Linked DNA regions of Caenorhabditis elegans. The protein of the gene in region 1 interacts with the protein of each later gene in a pairwise test. Each region holds a gene or a part of one and is shown in the gene's direction. Other genes may lie near its edges.

Region 1 (6,481 bases):
AAAAATCGAACCGCCTGAAAACTCGAATGTTTTAACAAAATACAAGCATTTTTCACGGCTTACCACTTGGCGCAAAATCTTACTCTCGATTGTTTGTTCAAGTAGAAATGAAATTTTTTCGTCTTATCATTTCCAGGACACGTGGGAGGAAGTACGTCTTTCATTTTTTTTGTCACGGCGGAAACACAGCTGTTCCAAGTTTCTCGTCATTTCAATGTCTAGTTGCACATTTTGATCTTCGTTTTTTCGAGTTATAAGAAAACATTTTTTGTTCCGAAAAAAATTATAAAATGTCTGATATTAATATGAAAAAATTTGGAAACAATAACAGTGGGGTTATCGGAACATGTCGAGAAGCGAACAAATAATATAAGAGATGTATCGAGAAACGAATACGGGAGCGAAAAAAATGTAGGGGAATCGGATGAAAGATATTTAGTGAATGTTACAAGTGTTGGAAATGAGACATTCAGAAATTGGATTGTGGCTCCTTCAACGCCAAGCATCGGTTCTTGTAGACAGAATGTCTCTGATCCATATTTTCTCTCTGCTCCAGAACCTAGATGGCACATCAATCAGCAACATTCCTCGAAATTCGAGTTGGGTGGAATGCGGAAAGGTTGGTGCAACCACCATCTGAAAATTAACTTGCTGATTGATAACTTTTTGCTGCCTTTTTACCTCAAAGTTGCTTGCTTTGGACACTTCGAAAGACCCCAACAATGCTTTCTTGATGACAATGTCCGCTTTGATGCTCTGCGAGTGGAATGTCACATCAGCAGTTCCCTAAATTGATTGGTGATACATTTTTGTGGTTCTCAGAAACTCACAGTTTGCTTGAAAACGGCATCATCCACCAAGAAGGCATCCTCTGGGAATGTGCTCCTCTTGGTGTTCATTTCCGTTATCACCGTGATTTGATCAACACGGAACTTGCGGTCTTCGAACGATGCTTGGAAAATCACAATCTGAATAATTGTTAATCTGGTTTTGAACAACACAAAATTCCTACATCAAGTTGCTTATCCCAGCAAGTGTACTTCTTCAAAGCAATTCGAGCCGATCCACTGATAACGTCCATCAATCCAAGTGAATCATTCCAAATGAACCAACTTCTCTCGCTTGTCTGATCTTCGCGCCCAATTGGATGAACAAGCATTCCACGTCCTTTAATACTGATTTTGTTTGGAGCAGGAAGCTTTGCAGAAATGATACAATTTGGATGCCCAAAGAAACGAAACTGAAATTTCAATGTTTGAAAATTAAAATTTCGTATTATAACTAACTCCTCCATATTCGCCTGGATTAATGACCATGAAGTAGACATAATCTTTTGTATCTGCGCGGGTGTCCGGAATTCTAATATGACCGAGACGTGATGAGTACACGTGAAGCATTTTGGGATCCGATTGACTATCTCTCTGGATCATTCCCTCTGCTAAGAAGGGATACGTTGCCTTGAACTTGGTGCGTACATTGCTCTCAAAGCTAAAAAATCGTGTTCTATTAAAATAATAATTCATTAGGACAACTCACTAAGCGTCTGTAACATTTTTCAGCTCTGTGTTATCCATATTGATAAGAATATCTGTCGCCAAATTGCAGTACTCTGTTTGGTTCATTTGTTGAAATGCTTGGACGGTAGACGAGGAAGATGTACCACCTTGTTGACCAGTTTCTGATGATTCCCATAGAGTACCCATTGAATTCGGAATGACACGAGAATTCTAAAAAATGAATTTAATTTAAATCCCATTTTCTTAATTTTTTTAAACCATTTGCTGTTGATCAAACTGATTTGATGTTCCTTGATTCATACTAAGTTCATTCAACTCTCGCCGGAGAAGTTCTTCCCTCTCTTGGGAACGTAGACGAGCAGTTAATTCAGTGAACATGTTAGGAAAAACCGTTTGACCCGGAAGATATGGAAGATCAATGTTTTCAATACTCTTTCCGCTGGCAATGAATGGTATTGTTTTATTTGGATCGATGACGTCATTGTTTTGAGAAATGTTAATAGCAGCATCATTTGACTCAGAAAGCCATGTACTTTGTTCAATTTGTTCTGCTGGAATCAATACACTTGGACGCTGCAACTAAAAAATTTTGAGAGAACTGCAAAGCTCTAATTTACCGGGAACTGATGACGCTGGACCATTTCAAAAACCCCATCGAGATCAGCGTTCAACTCGGAAGACGGAACTTCACCCTGATTGTTGGCTCCATGATGAATATTTAAGTTGTTCACTTCTCTTATAATTTCAGCTGGAGCTTCATCCACTTTAGGCTGAACTGAACCGAGTTTGCGTGTCTGTCAATAAAATTCATTAAACGGGAATTAAAAGTTAAAACCAACCAGGACAGGAATTGATTGAGATGAAAGACGACGTTGTGATGAAGCTGCCAAAGTGGAACTGGAAGGAACAAGCGCAGTATCTAAGGCTGGGACAGATTCGGAATTCGACAATTCTTGGATTGGGAGAAGCCTTTGTGTGAACGAGTTTCTCACTCCAGCAACTTGACTACTAGTGGGCACCTCTGACGATGTAAATGATTGAATTTCCTGTCGAAGAGATTGAGGTGGTACTTCACTTGAGCGAACCATGTTCTGGAAACATATTTTATCAATCAGAATATGAAAACAAAGTAAAACCGTTTGCGCGATTTGCTGAGGAACAGAAGTACTGGTTGGTAGAACTGCTTCACCAGAGAGTACAGGTGGAGGAAGCGGCTGGGATAAATCTGAAAATCGACTTGAAACTTAGGTCATTAAAAGTTTCCACAAACCTCTCTGATTACCAGCGAGATATCGCTGAGGATTCATACAGAAATTCCTCGTAAACTCATTTACTTGTGCTATATATTCAGCATAAGAATCATTCATCGCGAATGATCCTTATTTTGACAAAAATCAAGGGAATTTTCACAAAAGTAGGAAAAGTATTTAGGAACGAGTTTTCGAAAGCTGAAATTTCGAAAGCGTGTCATGTGTTTGCGTGTTTCAGTAAATACCGTAACCTTCATATATTTCAACAACAAATAAGAAAAGGTGCGCACGCGCTAGTCATTTGTTTGGTCTTTTAGTCGTTTATTTTTTTGCATGATGATTGTGTTTTAGTCACTTTTTACTTAAGTTTAATAATTTTATATGCTTTCTTCTAAAGTTATTACCGAATTTCCCATTATAAACTTTGCGCGTCGAATCTGGCGCTTGCGTACATGTTTCTCGTCTCTAGCTTTTCCTTTCATCTTCTCACCAATTTTACAACTTATCGACTTTGTTTCGAGTCTTGTGTTGTTTAAACATTTAAAAAACTCTAAAAACATGTTTTTTTGTTTAATATATGTTATTTCAGAGTTTCTGCTTTTATGGATCACATCGACGCTCATAGTGCGGTTTCCACGAGTTCGAGCTCTTCAAAATATGATACGCCGGATGACAATATTTCTGAACAGCGACTATTGTGTGACGCAAAAGTAATTATTTGATTCTCCATTGAAGAACAACCATAATATTCGTTACTACAGGAAGAATATCCACTGAATGATTATCTTTTCGATGGGATCAATCAAGAATCCGCACAACGGAGCCTTCTTCTATGTCGTCAAACATTTGAAACTTCCTTTGGCTTTGCTCTCCAATCATATGTATTCAAAAGAACATCTTCAAACAGTTACGAAAGAATAACTTATGTGGATTACGTGTCGGCTGATAGCCCAGCTGATCGCTGCGGGATAACACGAGGTATTCAATCATTTAATTCAGCTTTTCCTGCCAACTACTGCAATTTTAGGCGACATGGTCATTGCTGTCAATGAAAAAAGCGTCGTCACTGCCTCCCATGCAGAAATCGTCGAATCAATTGCTCAGTGTCTTCAAGTCAGTCTCGTTCTGGTCTTCAAAGATGTAGCAAGAATCGTGGAATTGAGCATGCGGTCGATTCAGTTACGATTCATGCTCGATGCAAAAATTAGAGAATTGAGGATGCTCGAAAAGACGGAAGAAGATTTGCAAGCATTATATGACGATGAACGTAAGTCGAGTTTACGGTTATTATTTTGATTATTTGTAACAATTTTAGATGGCAATGAGGAGGAAGACGAATCACTTGAAAGCACGCTTTACGAACTTGATGAGGAGCTAAAAAATGTACAAAATCCACAAGAAAAGGAAGCAAACGGCACTGATTATCGCCATCTCATTCGCATCAACAGTAGCACGTCTGTTGGAACTCCCCAAGTCACGCGTCTCTAGTAAAATCAATGTCTTTCATATTTTCACGTTTATCTCTGAACACTCATGGGTAAACATGTATACTCTAATTATATATTTCGATCCCTGGTACATAGTTGTACATATATGTATTTTAACTTCCTGTCTCCGCCCAAAATTTGCCATTTTATTCCCATTCCAGTCATTTTGATTCCCACAAACCTGTGATCATGGTTATGATTCTAGCCTGCCTGTTATACTATTAGTTTCAGGAAATAACATGAAGTTTTATCTACTATTCCTGACACAATTATTTCAATTATCCATGAGGTTCTGTGCCTTTTCTACTTTTTCGTTTGTTTTTCCTTGACAAAACTACTTTTTTTCAAACAGATGCACTCATTGTCAAGGATTCTTCTTCATCGCAGTAACAGTGTGCTCAATTCGCCTACTTTTCTTGTTGCTGTTAGGTAGACCTTTTCATCATTAAAACCTGTTTTATTCTGAGTATCCGTTAAATTCAATATTATCCCTCTAAAAAATGTGTTCTACTTCAGACAAACATCAGCCGGTCCACCTCCAGCCACTCCAGCTAAAGAAGGATCCTTGACCTACAAGTATGAACAATTTATTGGAAAATGGCCTAAAGTGTTGGCACTTCACAGGACTGTTCTTGAAGGTGAGGGAGTTCTCCGATTAACTTACTTACTTTTGAAATTCAAAAATGACATTTTCTGATCTTTTTTATTTTTATTCAGAGATCTTGACATGCTCTCTTAAAGTCGCACGGATTTATTCAGATGGGTCTCGGCGCAAAGTTTATGGCAACTTAAACTTCGCCCCGTGACTCATCTGAATAAATCCGTACACCTTCATGAAGGAATGCCAAAATCGTGTAAGATTACAATATCATCTTGTGAATCATATATTCAGGCTCTCGATGGTGCTTTGCCGATGTGAAAATGTATTTCAAGACGAAACGAGCTGTGGCTACCGGTCAGAAGAAGCTCACAGATCTCAGCGTTGAGGAATTGGAGACACTTGTTCAGGTAGAAATAAACTACGGAAAAGGGTCTATTCGTTGTTCTTTTTCTTCATGAATAGACTCAAATTCTCCCTTTTTGTTTTTATTTTCTATTACAAGGATAGTCAAAATACTAGCAAATTATCTAGAGTGGAAGCGAATTGATCAAAATGCTCACACTCATTGTGATTCTACAAATTCCTGGTCCTGGCGACATTCTAATTCTTATGTTGTGAGTTGTCCTAACATTTTTGGAATATTTTTTGTCGGTGTTGTTAGTTATTTTTAATTCCGTTTTCTTCTTTTATATAAAAAATTTGGGAGCGTTCTTTGGGGGTTTTGCTTTAAATTATAGATACGAAAAAGTATATAGAATTGTACATGATTTTTTTTTCAATCTTTCAAAAACAAAGGAAACGGTTTAAACGGGCTTTACTTCCCGCGCAATAAAATTCTGGCTAAATTCTTTTTTTTATTTCTTCTTTGCTATTTGGTTTGAAACATTTGACTCAGGCGTTTTTAAAATTTTTTTGTTTGCAGCATTAAAATAACCTTTTTTTTTTAATTAAATAAGTTGTTCAAAGCAAAACCCCCAAACAACTACTCCACCTTTAATCCTAACTGGACGGCAAACTCGCAACTAAGAATCTCCGTTTTGGCGTGTCTTTTCTCCCTCAATTTCATCACCAAACAGCTTCGAATCTAATTAGAAAACATCTAAATTTCAGTTTTTTAAGCTGAAAACCTTTTACAATGTCTTATTCCATTCAATAATTGGAAAATAATTTTTCGTTTATACAGTCGGGATCATTTTTCTATTCGGTAGATTTATAATTAATAATGGAAACGTTATTGAAATAATATAAAAGTAGTCTAATTAGATTCGAAACTGTTTGAGTTTCTCGCTCTTTTCAGATGCCAGTCGAAGGACCCAAAATGGCGATTGTTACTGCGTTTTTGCCTGTGCCACTCAGTGTTTACGTCTTTGCATTCGCCATGTATGTGGAAATGATTTCCATTATTTATTTTATTTTCTCACTATTTAATCCCAATGTTTCGACACAAAGTTTATTTTAGAATCTTCTTTCCTCGCCTCGTGCTTACTCGTCATTTTTGGTCTGACCAGCAGCGACGAGAATATTTCCAATTGGAAGTGACCAAAGCTCTGATCAGTGGAGAGCAACTGCTTAAAACATATGGAAATGTGAGTTGTCTTCTTTTTCTCTTTATTATAACAATTACGA
Region 2 (7,928 bases), on another chromosome or scaffold:
TAAATATCAAGTTATTATCCATTTGATTATACTGGTCACCCCCATTTTTACTCAGAATTATCATCCCTGGAATATAAGATAATACCATTGGAACTAAATTTTGAATTACGAGTCCTATAAATACGCGAAACTGTAGACGACGAGTGGCCACGGAGACATTGGAATGTTTGAAAATGATCAGGTAGTAGACACAACAAGCTGAGAAAAATACAACTTGAACCATCGAAATCAAAAATATCAACACTCCAGATAATTTCAAATAAGTGTCCCAAAAATCTCCCAAAGCTACTACAGCAGTAGGTTCAGTGAAAACTCTTTCACTGGGCAATGTAGAATCTGGAATAAGTAGACTGTTTGAAACGGTATAAATTATTTCAGAAAAAAAATGGATAAACAAACTTTTAAAATCTCAATTCTAGAAGCATTTTGATCTGGCAAATTTAGAAACGGCGGAGTTATGAGCACAATCGTTCCACAACAATTTACAAAAATCCAAAACAATTTTGATATTCGTCTTGAAATACTGAACTTGTTTAATGTAATTGAGCTACTCCGATTTTCAAACAACACTGTTATCGAGACAATCATTGCTGGAATAATCTGATTGAAGCCTTTTTTATTCAATTCTGAACTATTCTCAACTGTTAGTTTACTGACACTTGATTTCCAAATTGTAAAAAAACTGCTTAACTTACCATTATTCACGGTTATAAACAAATACAATTGGATAATTGGTGGAATATTTAAATAGTGAGCAAATCCAATTGTACTACTTGCAGAAAATGGTAGATATGTAATTGGAATTATGAAGCAAGATCCTATGGTCAAAGAAACAACGGTATACCAAAAGTTCAGATTCAATAATCCCATTTTAATTGATTTCCTGCTTTCTGGAGTTTTCCTTGTAATGCAAAAAAATGTGAGAAATAGAATAGGTAGGGAGAGTAGAGAAATTGAACATGCGACGGTTTTTAGTCCTTCTACGGATGCTAAATATCGGGTATCTGGAGGGCATTTCAACGGGTATACGTTAACGAAATAATCCGATAGAGAGATGATTTGAGTCATTTAGATTTTTCTTTTTTTTACATTCAATTTTTAGCGACGAGAAAAAGACAAATACTATAACGTCACCGAGACTGAAATTCCTTTTAATGAGTAGTTACAATGCGTTGTCTAGAAAAAGAAATGAGCAAACACCTTTTTTTTCTTAATGTTGATTTATGTTTTTTCTGGCAAAACTGCTTCTGACAAAACGAAGAAACTCTGAAGAACTGAAAAAAAGAACTGATTGGGGTGTCTTGGAGCTCGACGGCGTGATATAAATTTTTGGTCACGGCAAATGGCTGAACTTCCCGTTTACAGAATATCAATTTTAAATGTTTCCTTCCGTTTTTTTTTCCGTACTAGCTAGCATACTTTGTTTAGTATTTTCTGGTGTAAATGACAATTCTGAACAATTTTATGAAAGAAAAAGAAGCGTTTCCTATGATTTTCCCGAACTTTTGGAATTATGAAAAATACAGCTTTTGGTAAAATTCTGAATTTTTTAAATATATCCTGTACTAGCTAGCATACTTTGTTTGGTACTTTTTCATAGATGTTTTCTTAGAATGTCCACTTTTTTCTTGATAGTTCGCTTTTGCCGTTTTAAAATGAAATGCCAAAATTTTCATTACAAATTGCAAACCAGAATTCATCATAAATGAAAGTTATTCAGAATTTGCTGCAAGTCTTAATATTAAGTGAATGAATAAGTATATTTTTATTGTGATAAGTTTGTTCCAACTAAAAATTATAAACCACAAATGTATTCTTTTAGGGCATTTTGATATCTTAATTTCAATTTCGCCCTCCAAAAAAAAGGAAACTTTTGTGGCATTTGGAAAACTGTGGCAGAAGTAAATCAAAAAATTTACTGCATGGCAAATAAATATATAAGTAAATATATAAATACGATGATTCGGCCCATTTTTTGTTTGGAAAACAATCTAATTTTTATCGTAACGCTGTCAAACCATTATGAAAAGTTGTCGCAAAGTTATGAAACAATTGCGAAACGGTATTTTTTTTTGAAACATTTGTAACGTCTCATCGAATGAAGTCAATCGAATTAAAAATTGTTATCCCTTTCTGCTCCAGAAATCGAAAAGTGAATTCACAGGTGTACAAATTAAGACATGCGCAACAAAATGAAAATATCAAAAAAAAAACTTCTGAAGTTAAACATTTTTTGAATTTGTTTTCAGTTCATGAAAAGCTTGTATCTCGAGTAATAATTCAATTCTACCAACTTCTTTTTCACAAATCTACTACTTAAAACATGCCCTACAAAATGGAAACATCAAAAAAAAATTTCTGAAGTTAAACAATTTTTCAACTTTTTTCAGTACAGGTACAGGAAATGCCAACTTTTATATATTTATATATACAGTTCAACATTGAAAAATACAATACCAAAGAAGTCATAATACATATTACGAGATCACCAAGTGTATAATATACTCTGGACGGTAACTGTAATCCTATAGCCATGCAGAAACAAATTTATTTTTCACTACAAACTACAAAGTGCTCTTAACCTGCTCCTTCTTCTTGAAAACCAACGTAGCACGACGAGTACGGTCCGGAGAGCCAAACAGTGAGCGCTTCTTCTTCAAATGGTCCGGAATCTTTTTGCCCATCAGCTCAATCGTGTACTTTCCACTTGGCGGCTTCTTTCCTCCAAATTCTTGAACCTGAAAACAACGCTGGTAGGTAGGCACCAAGGTAGGCATCCCAATTTACCTCATAAAGGTACCCAATGACTTGACCAATAGTGTACGGATCGAAAATGTCCTCCTCGCTTTTTGTCTGCACCGGATGAAGCACATAGAATCCTTTACTGTTTGCCACAATCTTGCTCCAGTCTCCCGTAATTCCGTCGGATACGGTGTACTGGTCGCTTTGAGCCGAAAGTCGTTCATTTGCGTTGGGGAGGATAGGGTCCGCCTGAAATTTTAGAATTACTTCAGAGAAGCTATCAATTTGTGGACCCAAGCTGACCACCAAAAGGTAGAGAATTCTAGCTCAATTTTGAAGCTTCGAGGGGTACGGTAGCTCCATTAGTACGCAAACACCGAAGTTCAGCCATTTTTTTTCGAATTTTGAGCTTACAACTCTGCTTTAGACTTAAGAACCGGCGAGGAATCCGAAATTGATCATCTCCAAACTCACATGCATATATTTTCCACCTTTTCCAGGCTTGTATGGATAGTTCTTGGGCTGATAGTAGACGAGTCCTCGTGGTGGCTTAGTTGATTTGAAACTTCCGGATCCTGGCCCATTGTTGTATCCTCCAGGCTTTTGTGTCCAAGATCCTGGTCCGTTTGTGACAGGGTTCATGTTGGGTGCTGAAAGTTGATGGACCATGATTTTGGCTGAGGAATTTCAGAACTTACGGAAACTTGCACCTGGCTGGGGGTTCTGGCCACCCGGTTGTTGAGTCCATCTAGCTGGTTGGCACTGTCCTAAAATAACAAATTATTTTACATATAGACTGAACTTCTCCAAAACTCGGCAGTTTTTCCATGAAAAAGCGTCGAAACTGCGACAAACAAGAGGCATACCTTCATAAAAAAGCACAAAGAATCCGACGAAAATCGGCAAAAGGCAATTCCAACTCATGATATCCGAATTGTTGGCGTCGGTGTGTCTTCTTTTGTACGGCTCTTTGAATTCTGCTCTCCGCGATGAGAGACCAAAAAACGGGCGGTCGAAATATGAATGAGTGAACTTTTTGAGAAAATCCACCCTATTTATGGAGTTTCTTATCAAGATGGCTTAACGGGTCACGGAAAAATTTTAATTTGATTGAAATAATTTTTTTCTGATTTTTTTTTTGATTTTTTTCGGGTCACGTAGTTCATTAAAAACAGGCAATTAAAAATAAATTACCTGGTCACGGGTGCTACGTGGCATCTGCTATATAAGGCCCAAAAATCAATAGAAACAATTCATTGCCAACAACTGAGAGCACTTTTCTCTCGGCAAACCAATCGGCTCTTTGGAAGAGCTCTACTCATCATTGTACAATGCTTCATCCATCAATTGTTTGGATGGTATTTGGCGTGTGGACACTTGGTGTCAAGTCTCAAGTAATTGTGCAATCGCCCAATATTTCGACATTTGGAACATGGCAGCCATGGGCAAGATGTCCTGAAGGGCAATATGCAAATGGAATGAGAATCAAGTTTGAAGAGTGGTCGGAGGATGTCGAAATTGCTGGACTCACTGCGGTGGATCTTCGTTGTGCGGCTAAAGGTGAGGATAGTTTAGTGAAACATCGGTTAAAGTTTTGTACCTTGGCTGTAAAAACTGAATTCTGTCGATACACCATGTTCTTTGAGAGTAAATATCTTGGTTAGGTTAGAACTGATCTTTTTTTTTAGTGAAAAACTTTTTGATAGCACCAACTTGAACATAGATATTAGCTGTCAAACTGTATACCGGAAATTTGCAACTTTTCACTAGATTTACATTTTTCAGGTGGTCCACACAGTGAGGAATCAGTGATCAGTGGAGAAAGTGTCAGCGGAACTTGGCAAAATGTGCAGTACTGCCCAGATGACAAGGTCATTGTCGGATTCTCTCTGAAGGTGGAAGAGTTGCAAGGGAACTATGACGACGCCGGAGCTCTAAACTTTGCAGCTTTTTGTGGAGCTCAATTTGGAGCAAGGAACAGTAAGGTGGTACTTCAAGGTGAGTAGAAGCTAGGTAGGCTTAGGACCAAGCTTTTGTGTAAGGTAGACTCAAGAAACGATTGTCTTTCAGGCGACACAAAATCCGTCACAAGAGGACACTGGACTGAGGATCTCTACTGCCCAACTGGCTTTGCAGTCTGCGGAATTCAGGCTCGAGTTGAGAAAAATGAGACTCAAGCTGGAATTGATGATACTGGTGTGAACAATGTTCAAGTGGAATGCTGCCCGGCACCATATGACTGTGATGCAAGCTATGAGGCTAAGGAAGTGGACAAGTATCAGAATAATAATGGTGAGGAGATTGGATTTCACCTTTTCAATAAAATTTCTGGAATTTCAGATTACGAAACTTCCCACAAAGTGCTCGTCAAGTCAAAGTACGAAGGACCGGCTGCGGCGGACAAAACTGAACAAGAGTTTGTAGCCAAGAGTGAGTTTTTGTTGGAATTAACAAATTGTTTAATGGAAATTATATTTCAGAAATCATGCTTTCCCTGAAAAAGAAGTATGAGCAACTCGAGTTCAGCACTGCTCCAGCGGACTTTGTCTACACCCGAAACAAGCGTCAGGACACTGATCCTGATTATGTCGATGGTGGACTGGTTTTGGGAGAAGATGATCCAGAGAAGACCTCAGTTGCCCCAGAAGTTGAGTCCGTGGACTCCAATGGTGAAGATCTAGCTGCTTCCTCAAATGGAGAAATTTCTGAAATTCCCACAGTTGATCCAACTACCAGCGGTGAAAATTCAGAATCTGATCCAGTTTTCGAAGTAGTGGATCCAAGTTCGGCACCTCCGGCGGTGGCTAATGCAGACGAAAACGCATGGTCACAACAGGTCGAGCAAGGGAGCTCAGAGGCTCCAGTTGAGATGACAGCTACTGAGGATACAGCTGAGGAGACTAATAACGAGTCTGAAGTCGAGGCAAGCACGGAAGCTCCATTTGAGGTGGCGGCTACTGAAGATTCAAACCAGGCTCCAGTTGACCCAATCTTTACGGAAGCTCCAGCAGAAGGATCGCAGGAGGAACAAACTTCAGATGGTCCAGTGTTTATTCCTGAAGATGGATCAGTTCATTCCACGGAAGCTCCATTTGAGGTGGCCGCTACTGAAGTTTCGGAAGTTACCCATGGAAGCGGAAGTGGTCCAATGCCAGAACAGACCGATGAAGTTCCAGGACCATGGGAGCCAGTGCCATCTCCAGTTCCAGAACCAGAAGATCCAGTTCCAAGACCAGAGCTTGCTACTACTACTGAGGGACTTCCAGTTCAAGAGCCAGAAGATCCTAATCCAATACCAGAAGATACAGTGCCGGGACCAGAAGACACAACTCCAGGACCAGCTGTAACTGAGGAAATTCCAGAAGTACCAGAACCAACCGAAGAACCTCCGACTCCAACAGATTCGGAAATCGATTCTCCAACTCCAGCTCCAGCACCGGGACCAGAACCAGAATCCCCATCCAACTACCACCGGCTGAGCATTTCAATGGACGAGCTGGAAGTATTGGTTCAACAAGCAGTCGCTGGTCAGAATGTGAGTTTACTCTACTTTTTCTAGAATTTGACTTCAATTCCAAATTTCAGATGGTCATCACTCTTCCGGTTCCAGCCCACAAGAAGTTGATTGTCGAGCAGATCGTTGTGAAGTGCGATGAACATGTCATCAGCCTGCCAGCACTCATTGTCAAACATCGTTAGGTTCTTCAGTAGCCGAACTCTTGTCGAACTCTCTTTCTCTTTTTTTGTAGAATAAAATTGTGATTTTTGAAGGGATAGTTGACAACTTTTTTAGAATATTAAAACTTGATATGAGCCCTTCAAGATGACAAAAAGAATCTGGACACCTAGTCCAGCCAGAGTTTGAAATTGAATATCTCGGTTCTGTTTTGTGATATTTAAAAATGTTCAAATATAACAGAATAAAATGTAAATAACGAGTATTTGGCCAGTTGATTTTCAATAAATCCAAAACTAGCAGAAATGAGCTTCCAAATGTGGGTCTTGATGCACCTGGCACCATTTTTGGTAGGTAAACTTTGACAGTTCATATCTTGATTTATCATGGGAATCGGCTTATTATGGAAATGTTTAAGAAGGACTAAGCTTTTTCTACAAACTTTTTTGTATTGTATTACGGCAAATTGAGGTAAACCAATTCACAGGTGTACCAATTAATTTATGCGCTAAATAGAAAATAAGAATATTAAAAAAAAATTTCTGAAGTAAAACAACAATTTTTAACTTTTTTCAGTACGAATATATATGTAAAACGCTCGTATCTCGGGTATAATACTCGGCAGTAGCCCGCAATTCCTTGACCAAGGTTTGCCCACTCTTTGTCCAAATTAGCGTTTTTTACACTGACAACCCACTGGGCGCTCACTCTCTGCCCAAAGTTTAACCACTCCTTGACCAAGTTTTAACAGACGATGAGATTCACTGCGCCCCCCACTCTTTGTCCAAGGTTTGCCCACTCTTTGTCCAATTTGGCGTTTATTTACTCACAAACCACTGAGAGCCCGCTCTTTGTCCGAAGTTGGTCCACTCCCTAACCAAGTTTGTACGCGACGCCAATGCCAAGCTGAGCTGAGCGGCTTCAAACAAAAAGTTAATTTTTGTTATTCATCCAGAACGCGTGATTGTTATCATTTGAGCCAACTTTTTGCATATCGTATATTCTCTATTAGTATGGTATGGCATACTAATTTCCGGACTCCTTTTTGGCGCGATACTATTAGAGACTGCAAGACTATTAGATACCGTATTACTTATTTTTGATGGAATCTTCGAAAATAGTTCTGGTTTTTGAGAATTTACAAATTAGGAATGGGTTTGGACCGAGACACAGTGACTCGCTCTTGACTGAGTAGGTCGTCAAGACCCGGAAAATGATGGGAAATTATCGTCAAAACCCCCCTAGGACCCTCCGAAAATCAGTACTGCTGGAGTCTACTACCATTCACCGTTTGAATAACTAAATGGAATTTTTCATGTAATTTTCGATGGTTTCACACTAAATTACCAAAACCTTTAAATTGGGTGTATTTTCTGTAACAATATTATTGTACCCTTTTCACCCTTTTCATGAATTTCCACTTGAAATATTAGCTTTAGTAAGTGAATAATAATGTTCTCAACCTCAACATAGATTCATTTGGAAATTAGTACTACATTCTCTAATACTA
Region 3 (7,979 bases), on another chromosome or scaffold:
AGAATCTCTTCGTGAAATGGACAATAGTTGCGTGGTTATGCATAAAGTTTGTGGAGTTATCAGAGAATATTTGAAGTAAGCTATTTCCTGATTGTTTAATTATATTTAATTTTTTTTTCAGAAGGCGACCTGACACTGTACAACAAATTATCAGTTACATTACTTCTAATAAGAAAAATGAACTGGAAAAAGATATGGTAAGCGTGTACTAAAAAAACGTTTTCTAACACTTTTCAAGAGCTTACAGTCTAAAACTGTTCGATCGGCAATGATGGACGAGGAAGAACTGAAAGGTGTCAACGATGATTTTTTGCCAGAAAATATGGAGACGCTTGGATGGGAAAACTGGATGCCTAACCCAACTGATGCTACTGTTGGTTAGTGATTACAGATAAAAACTCACGGAAGTTCAATGACAATTCTCTCAAATTCAGTAAAAGTTATTAAAATGTTATTCTTATTTTCAGGTGATGGAGCACCCGGGCATCAAGGTGTTGACGTCTTCAATATGCTTGTCTCTGTATATGGATCCAAAGAACTTTTTGTCAAAGAATATAGAAATCTTCTTGCTGAACGACTTTCGAGTTCGGACAACAAAGATGTAAGTACTCTTTTCGTTTTCAACGAAGTCTATATCTTTTTTAGCCTGAATTCGAGAAGCGATACCTGGACTTGCTGAAACTGAGATTCCAATACAGTGAGCTACAACATTGTGAAGTGATGCTTCGGGACGTTATTCATAGTCTCGATATTGATAAAAAGTTTGAAGACATGAGTGAAAGAAGCGCTGGAAATTATGATGTTCCGATTATTCCAATTTCTGCATGTATCATCTCAAGTCATTATTGGCCAAAGTTGGAAACTGAAAAAACAGAAGCGGTGAGAATATTGCAACAATGTTACAATATGAAAAATTATTTCAGTTAATGCCTCAACCATTGCAAGCTGCGATGGACGTTTACCAAGAAACTTATCTGGACGTGAAGCGCGACAGAAAATTAGAATGGTTAAGAAGTGTTGGGTAAGTTTCATTTGTTGAATTATCATGTGAATTTTAACTTTTTAAAGATGTGTAGAGGTTTCTATCAATATCGATGGAGTTGAAGTAGATCGAACAATTCCAAATATGTACGCTCTTCTCCTCTTCTTGTTCCTCGAAAAAGAAACATGGACAACTGCTGAAGTAGTCGAGAAAATGGGAATGTCAGTGGTTGTGACAAGAAAACGATTGGAATGGCTGGTTAAACAAGGATTTATTTGCATGGTAAAATAGAAAATTATTAAGTTATCATATAATTTCATTCTCAGAATCCCATTATCAGTAGCGACACGTGGACATTGACCCGGAATCCAAGTGGAATTTCCATCGTTCGACCAGGCACACCGGACCTTGAAGACGATGAAGATGTGGAACCGGAAGAGAATTCTGATATGGTTGATGCTTTAGAACAATATTGGGGATATACTAGAAATTTCATTGTAAGTAAAACTTAAAATATATAAGAATAAAAAAATCAATTTTCAGGCCAATCATGCACCTAACGGAGAAGTGAAAGCGGAACGGATGCATCGTGTCTACCGTATGTTCGGTTCTCCAACTTCTGCAGGACCCACTCTTGATCATGTTTCCGCGTTTTTGCAAAGAAAAGTTGCGCTGGGACTGCTAACCTGCATTAATGGGTCATATCGTATCATTCAGGAAAAGAAAGACGGCGAATAACTTCTTTCATTTTATAATCTTGAAATTTTTTTTTTCTAAATTTAAACAAAGCTGGTATTTATGATGATCTAATTCTATAAAATATTTCAAAACAATTTATTAAAAAACAACAAAAAATGGCACAGTCGATTTTGAGATTCAAGAGGATCCAAAGAAATAAAAAAATTTAAACAAAAACTATTCGAGATCAAAAATTTGTGCAAAGATGAAGCATCGTCGTTTATTCAACGTTTGACTCTCTTCAATCTTTCGACGTATTACATTTCCGTGATAAAGATGAAGCGACTTGGAGAAGAGAAAATTCTGCAAATCATATTTATATTAATTCAGTCTGAACACTTTTTTTCCGAACCTTCACAAAAATTTTGCACTTATCGAACCATTCTGTGTACATGCGACTTGATTGTCCTCTCATCATTTTTTGATACAAATCGTACATCTTTTCACACGTTCTTCTCGAAAAGTCCAGATCATCTCTATTCGAACTTCTATTCACATTTGATGATATATGTCTTTCCAAGAGATCGTCAGCCAGAAATGACACGTGGATCTGTATATCTTCACTGCATGGTATCGGGATATCAGACAAATCAAGTGGTACTGTAAGGCGAACTTTAACTGCCAAATCAGCACTTCCACAGTCTCGGCAACTCTGAATAAAGAGAATGATAATTGCCAAAAAGAGATCGAAATTGAAATATTACACAATCTTCCTTTAGCATCTCGACAAAATGACCTGGGGCGTGTGATTGGCAGACCTTTGTGAACACAACATATTGAATGTTCTTTTTCGAGTAGTGGTTCCAGTCAAATGTGTACATGCTGAAAATATTATTTGTTTGCAAAGGATTTTAAAAAATCGAATTTTCGCAAAATAAAACTAACTAATCAAGATTCATAATGGAGAACTTTTGTATACTTTTCTGAAACAATGACATCACTTCGACGTATTTCGATTTAACACCTGAAAATAAGAGTGATTTTAAATCAGACAGTCTATAACTGACCACTACTTTTTGATGATGGCTGATTTATATCACTTATTCCTTCATCAATATTCTCTCTTGTCCCTACTCCAGGAATATTCTTATACTTCGATAGTTTTTCTGGGTTATCTCTCTCAGCAGTAACACGAGCCAGGTTGTCGAAGACATTAGAAGCAAATGTTATTTTATCAGAAGGTCGTTCTGAAATATGTCTTTAATTTTTTTAAAACTAATTAAAGTGAAATTGAAACCTTCTGTTCTCTTCCTCTTATCAGTTTGTTCAATATCTCCAGACGTCCTCCGTTTTCTTTCCTTTTTTCGATTAAATCCTAGGCAACTATGAACACTATCCGAAAGTGGAGAGGAACTGAATTCCGTTTGCCTATTTTCTTCATCGGTTCTGGAAAGCTTATTCATTTCATGAGGATTAGGGCTGTGCAGCAACCGGCAATTGCCGAAGTTGCCGAACCCAAAAATTTTCGGCAACCGGCAATTGCCGAAGTTTCCGAACCCTAAAAATTTCGGCAACCGGCAACTTTTGGTTGCCGAAAATTCGGCAACTTGGTTGCCGGTTGCCGCACAGCCCTGATGAGGACCAATATTTCAAAGTGACATACGGTAAAATCTCAAAACTCTGGTCGTTAACCCAACTAGCACAATATGATGCACATTCTGAAGATTCTGGGAGAGCGACTGATGGTTTAGGTATTGCTTTGATTGTTTTCGCAGCTTCGGATGGACTGTTAATTTCACCAAAGAATTTATTGAAATCTTGAGGGTCTCCCGTTGCGGCAGAACCTGAAGTTGAAAGTCTTCAATTTTATATTCATATGTATAACTTTAACTTACTTTCTCCGGCAGAAAACGACATCTCGCACAAGAAAGGAAAAAAGTCTAGGTCCTAGAATTATGTTATAGAGTACTGTAGACAATTGTGTGCAAACACTATGAGGGATGTTGCACAGTAGACACCACATTGTACGACATTTAAGAGTTTTTCTTTTTCTTCAATTAGTTTTTCTTTGCTTGTATTTTTCCTGATTTGTCATTTTCTCTCTTGAGTTGATATTGTTTTAAAGTTTAAAACGTTTAAAATAATTCATTTTTCAGCATTGAAAAAGGAAGTCTGTGTATGCAGCGGAAAAACAAGGGATAAATGTCATCGCGGTATTCAGGTTTGTACACTTGAGTATTAAAGCAAATTTCAACGCTTTTGATAATTTCAGAACGAAATGGACTATCGGAGACGGAGAAGATGACTCTTCCCAAAGTACGCAAGAGGAAGGCACAACTTGTCGATGAAATTGAGGCGCTAAAAAATGAGGTGTGAAAACTAATTAGTTTTAATGAATGTTTTAGCCAAACAAAAATCTTTAGAACGGAAATCTTCACTTTTCTATTTTAAATAATATTTTTCAAAATTATATTAATCAATTCTCTGTGATGCCTTTTACGGTTTTGTTTTTGCATTCTAAAAATTTAGATTTTTGTTATAAATATCGAAGAATATTTCTAATAACTGAAACTTTGATAAGCTATCTTTGATTTCTAAAAAAAACAATAAATTTAAAAAAGCAAAATGACGTTCTCCATGTGTGCTATTTTAAATTCTGTCTATTACGAAATATGTCAACATATTAGGTACGAGAAGTTGACGAAGAACTCGATCAAGTATATTACACCCATCCAAAATCAAAAGAATATCACAAAATAGTGGTGAATGGCCGAAAAAAGTTCAATCAAGACCCATGGAAAGCGTTGGATTGGTTGGCATCAAGAAATGTAGTTGCAAAGGATCCTCAAGCATTGGCGCTCTGGATGAAAGCTGTGAGTTTTCTTATTTTTTAAAACAATTATTTAATAGAAATCTATTTATTATGTTTTCAACTGCAATTTTTCAGGGCGAAGGACTTTCTAAAAGTGCGATCGGCGAAATACTGGGTGATAACCGTCCATTTGCGTTGGAAACCCTTGACAGATTCACAAAAGAACATAAATTGCATGATGTTCCGATTGTTCCAGCTCTTCGTCAATATCTATTTTCCTTCCGGCTACCTGGCGAATCGCAGAAAATTAATCGAATTTTGGAGAAATTTGCAGAAGTTTACGCGAATCAAAATCCATCATATGGAAATGCAGATCAAGCACATACAGTAGCATATTCATGTATTATGGTTAATACATTATTACATAATCCAAACGTTAAAGATAAACCATCACTGGAAAAATATATTGAAATGAATGAGGTTGGTATAGGATGAAAATTGAAGAAAAAACATTTTTAATGAAATTAAATGGAAAATTTCAGCAACTTCTCGAAAAAGGTGCAATTACAATCGAACAGCTCACAGAAGTATATGAATCAGTTAGTGTTACACAATTCAAGATCCCAGATGAAGTATCGACAAGTGGAAAAGGAACTGTGAACGATATTCTATTACATGCTGAACGAGAAGGATGGCTTTTCAAGCAGAGTAGTAATCCATTATTTTCTGGTGCTCTTTCGTGGAAAAAACGATGGTAAGGTTTTGAATATATTTATTAGTAGCATACTTTTTAAAGATGGAACCGTATAACCGAAATATAACTGTTTAAAAAATTATTAGTTTTCTACTAAATATTATGATTTTTTAAATTTTGCAAAAATAGGAAAGGCTAAATTTGAATTCCGTTTTCAGACTAAATTTATTGATTTTGGTGATTTTTTCTCGGATATTCGATTAAAAGCTCGCTTTTCCAATTTTTAAAAAACAATTTCTCCGTTAAAAAACTTGATAACCAGAAAGAATATTGGATTAAAAATCGATTTTTTGATAGTTTTTTTTTTGTAAAAATGTGTGTAAAAATTTAACATTCGGTTTTAACCAGAAAACGCAAAAATGGCGAAAAACTTTTTTCTTTTGCAAAATTGAAAAAATCATTTTAAAATGTTTAAAAAAATTTTATTGCAATTTTTTTAAATAATAAAAATGTTTTTTCGGTCATTGAGGTCAATATGTATCTTTTAAAAGAAACTCCTCATCCGAATATACTACACTTTAAACCATTTTTCACATTGTTTCATGAACACAAATAATCCTTAACTTTATTATAGGTTTGTTCTTTCTGAGAATTGTCTCTACTACTTTGACCAAATGACTGATAAGGAACCAAAGGGAATCATCACATTGGCAAATGTTGGAATACGGAAGGTCGAGGCACCCTCCAGGCCATTCATGTTTGAGGTTTAAATTGCTGAATTAAATTTCAAAGTTAATTTTTCTTGAATTCCAGATATTCTCTCTATCGGATGGACAAATCAAAGCATGCAAAACAGAACAAGATGGGCGGCTTGTCGAAGGACGTCATTCGATTTACAAAATATGTGCAGTAAATGATGAAGATATGAGATCATGGATCAACGCAATATCACGAATGATGGCACCGCAGCAACATTTATTAGCCAGACCAAAAAGTACCCACTGAAACATTTTGAACAATATGATTGCAAATATGAACATTTCTGTAATTTTGTATTCTGAAATTGAGACCGGGAACAATCAAATATTTTATATATTGTTTCTATTCTCGTATTCAGTATCTTAATTTAACTTCTCCATTCAAAAAATACTTCTATAATCTGTTATCCTCCACCAAAACGAGTCATTTTAGGCCTTTCGCACTTATTTCCTTTTTTTTCATACAAAAAAACTCACTTATGTGTACTTTTTCCATAATAACCGTATTCTCAATTTTTCGAAATAATTTCGCCTGAATTAATTATGTAATCATTTAATAATCAGCTTTTTCTCTCTTCATTCTTGTTTTTTCTGTTTTTTTTTAAAGATTCTACAGAAAAAGCGTCCATTTTTCCTTTTTGCCTTTTCTTTTCATCTATCGGTTTGTGACCCACTTGATATTTTTTCGAGACTTCAGTCATAACTTTCATAACTTTTTTCAGAAAATATGGGGTTCACATTGAAAAGTTTAGAATTTTTGCAAGGTGTTGAACCGTTTCGAATCGATGAAAATCATGAAAACGAAGGAGCATCGGAAGAAGAAGAAGTTCTTATTTCTGCCGAAACCGATGCTGGAATGTCGTTAATGTTAGGTCAGTGTGTACTTTTAGAAACCTTAATTTGAAAAATAAATGTCTTTAGAATGGAAAATGCGTTTGTCAGAAGACTCGGACCAGTGTACAACATGTAATTGTCCAGTGGATTTTGGTGATCGAGCTGTTCTTTTAGAGCATTATCAATCACTTTTTCATAGGTATTCTCAGTTTTTACAACTCACATAAATACAATATTTCTAGAACAAATACTCTTCGAAAAGCTAGAAACATGACAGTCTACACTGAAGAAGATTTTGAAGGAATCGAAAATTCAGAAAATGGTATGATCTCCGATATGAATGTAAATTGTAAATTAAGTATTACCAGATCTCACATCTTCACAAACTACAATTGGATTGGAATCTGACGATGAAGAATTTGATGCATTGCTTTTACCTGCAAATCGGTCGTTTTTCATTAAAAATGGCTCCGTTTTTTCGGTTCCAAGGTAAAATCAAAAAAATTCTGAAAGTTAACAAAATTCGTTTTTTAAAATTAAATTTTGTTTAAGAAAAAACACAAGAAAAAAAAATTTTTTCTAAAAAAAAAAATAGCCACACTTTGAAACCATGCTTCAAAAATCGGATTAAAATTACTTTCTCTATAATTCCAATTTTCTATAGTTTCCCTGTCTTTTTCTGTACATTTTTCTACAGTTTTACCAATTTTTAATTTTCGAAAAATCTAAAATGTTTGTTTTTCAATTTTTCCGAGAAACGAAAACGAAAAATGGTTTTTCGCCAAAAACACCAACAAAAAGAAACGAAGAATGAAACTTCTTGTAATTCTGAACCCTGGACACAGTAAATAAATCTTAATAATTTTATCATCCTCTTTCAGGAATATTCTCCACGTGGGTGAGCGAGATGTCTCTTCAGTCACATTCCTTCGTCCATTTGATTGTGCCATTTTTCTTTGGAATGGTGGTCACTTCGCTGCTGCAATGTTTGAAAAGTGAATTCTTTCTTTTCTAATTAATTTTATAAATTCTGATTATTTCAGTGATAAAATGACTGTTCAAAAGTCATTCCATAGATATGTGGCTCGTGCCAAACAAGGAGGAGTCCAATCTCAACATGATTCTGGTGGTAAAGGGGCTGCGAAGAGTGCCGGAGCTCAATTGAGAAGGTATTTCGTGAAAATTTCTAACCTTTTGAATACTTCTATATTTTTTTTAGAT

What was found.
Region 2: the proteins of gras-1 (region 1) and Y57G11A.2 interact in a two-hybrid assay, tested with the Caenorhabditis elegans proteins (one large-scale study listed by BioGRID).
Region 3: the proteins of gras-1 (region 1) and grp-1 interact in a two-hybrid assay, tested with the Caenorhabditis elegans proteins (one large-scale study listed by BioGRID).

What each region holds. Positions count from the first base shown.
Region 1 is NC_003279.8:7,832,458-7,838,938, forward strand, and holds gras-1 (General receptor for phosphoinositides 1-associated scaffold protein 1 homolog), read left to right. Parts: upstream 1-3,350; 5' UTR 3,351-3,369; coding exon 3,370-3,477; intron 3,478-3,528; coding exon 3,529-3,745; intron 3,746-3,794; coding exon 3,795-4,034; intron 4,035-4,082; coding exon 4,083-4,255; 3' UTR 4,256-4,510; downstream 4,511-6,481. Other genes in the region: F30F8.1 (RING-type domain-containing protein), read right to left, coding at 493-636, 682-786, 831-968, 1,013-1,240, 1,287-1,488, 1,537-1,727, 1,776-2,090, 2,135-2,311 and 3 more; F30F8.9 (Letm1 RBD domain-containing protein), read left to right, coding at 4,607-4,683, 4,771-4,892, 5,147-5,262, 6,153-6,235, 6,315-6,441.
Region 2 is NC_003282.8:14,515,604-14,523,531, reverse strand, and holds Y57G11A.2 (Vitelline membrane outer layer protein 1), read left to right. Parts: upstream 1-3,992; 5' UTR 3,993-4,073; coding exon 4,074-4,302; intron 4,303-4,527; coding exon 4,528-4,740; intron 4,741-4,812; coding exon 4,813-5,034; intron 5,035-5,082; coding exon 5,083-5,172; intron 5,173-5,222; coding exon 5,223-6,277; intron 6,278-6,327; coding exon 6,328-6,441; 3' UTR 6,442-6,510; downstream 6,511-7,928. Other genes in the region: T27E7.1 (uncharacterized protein), read right to left, coding at 2,565-2,738, 2,788-2,991, 3,217-3,392, 3,441-3,509, 3,609-3,666.
Region 3 is NC_003281.10:8,081,889-8,089,867, forward strand, and holds grp-1 (GTP exchange factor for ARFs 1), read left to right. Parts: upstream 1-3,816; 5' UTR 3,817-3,862; coding exon 3,863-3,881; intron 3,882-3,932; coding exon 3,933-4,030; intron 4,031-4,347; coding exon 4,348-4,533; intron 4,534-4,607; coding exon 4,608-4,952; intron 4,953-5,014; coding exon 5,015-5,226; intron 5,227-5,800; coding exon 5,801-5,930; intron 5,931-5,979; coding exon 5,980-6,171; 3' UTR 6,172-6,561; downstream 6,562-7,979. Other genes in the region: apc-2 (Anaphase-promoting complex subunit 2), read left to right, coding at 1-75, 122-197, 239-377, 468-601, 646-879, 924-1,021, 1,069-1,264, 1,309-1,479 and 1 more; K06H7.7 (uncharacterized protein), read right to left, coding at 1,898-2,023, 2,073-2,372, 2,425-2,542, 2,606-2,684, 2,728-2,907, 2,958-3,106, 3,324-3,504, 3,556-3,577; tRNA endonuclease vms-1, read left to right, coding at 6,652-6,796, 6,846-6,957, 7,001-7,080, 7,127-7,247, 7,640-7,753, 7,802-7,927, 7,978-7,979. UniProt on the Caenorhabditis elegans protein: Promotes guanine-nucleotide exchange on ARF. Promotes the activation of ARF through replacement of GDP with GTP. Plays a role in cell shedding during embryogenesis, probably by promoting the endocytosis of cell adhesion molecules.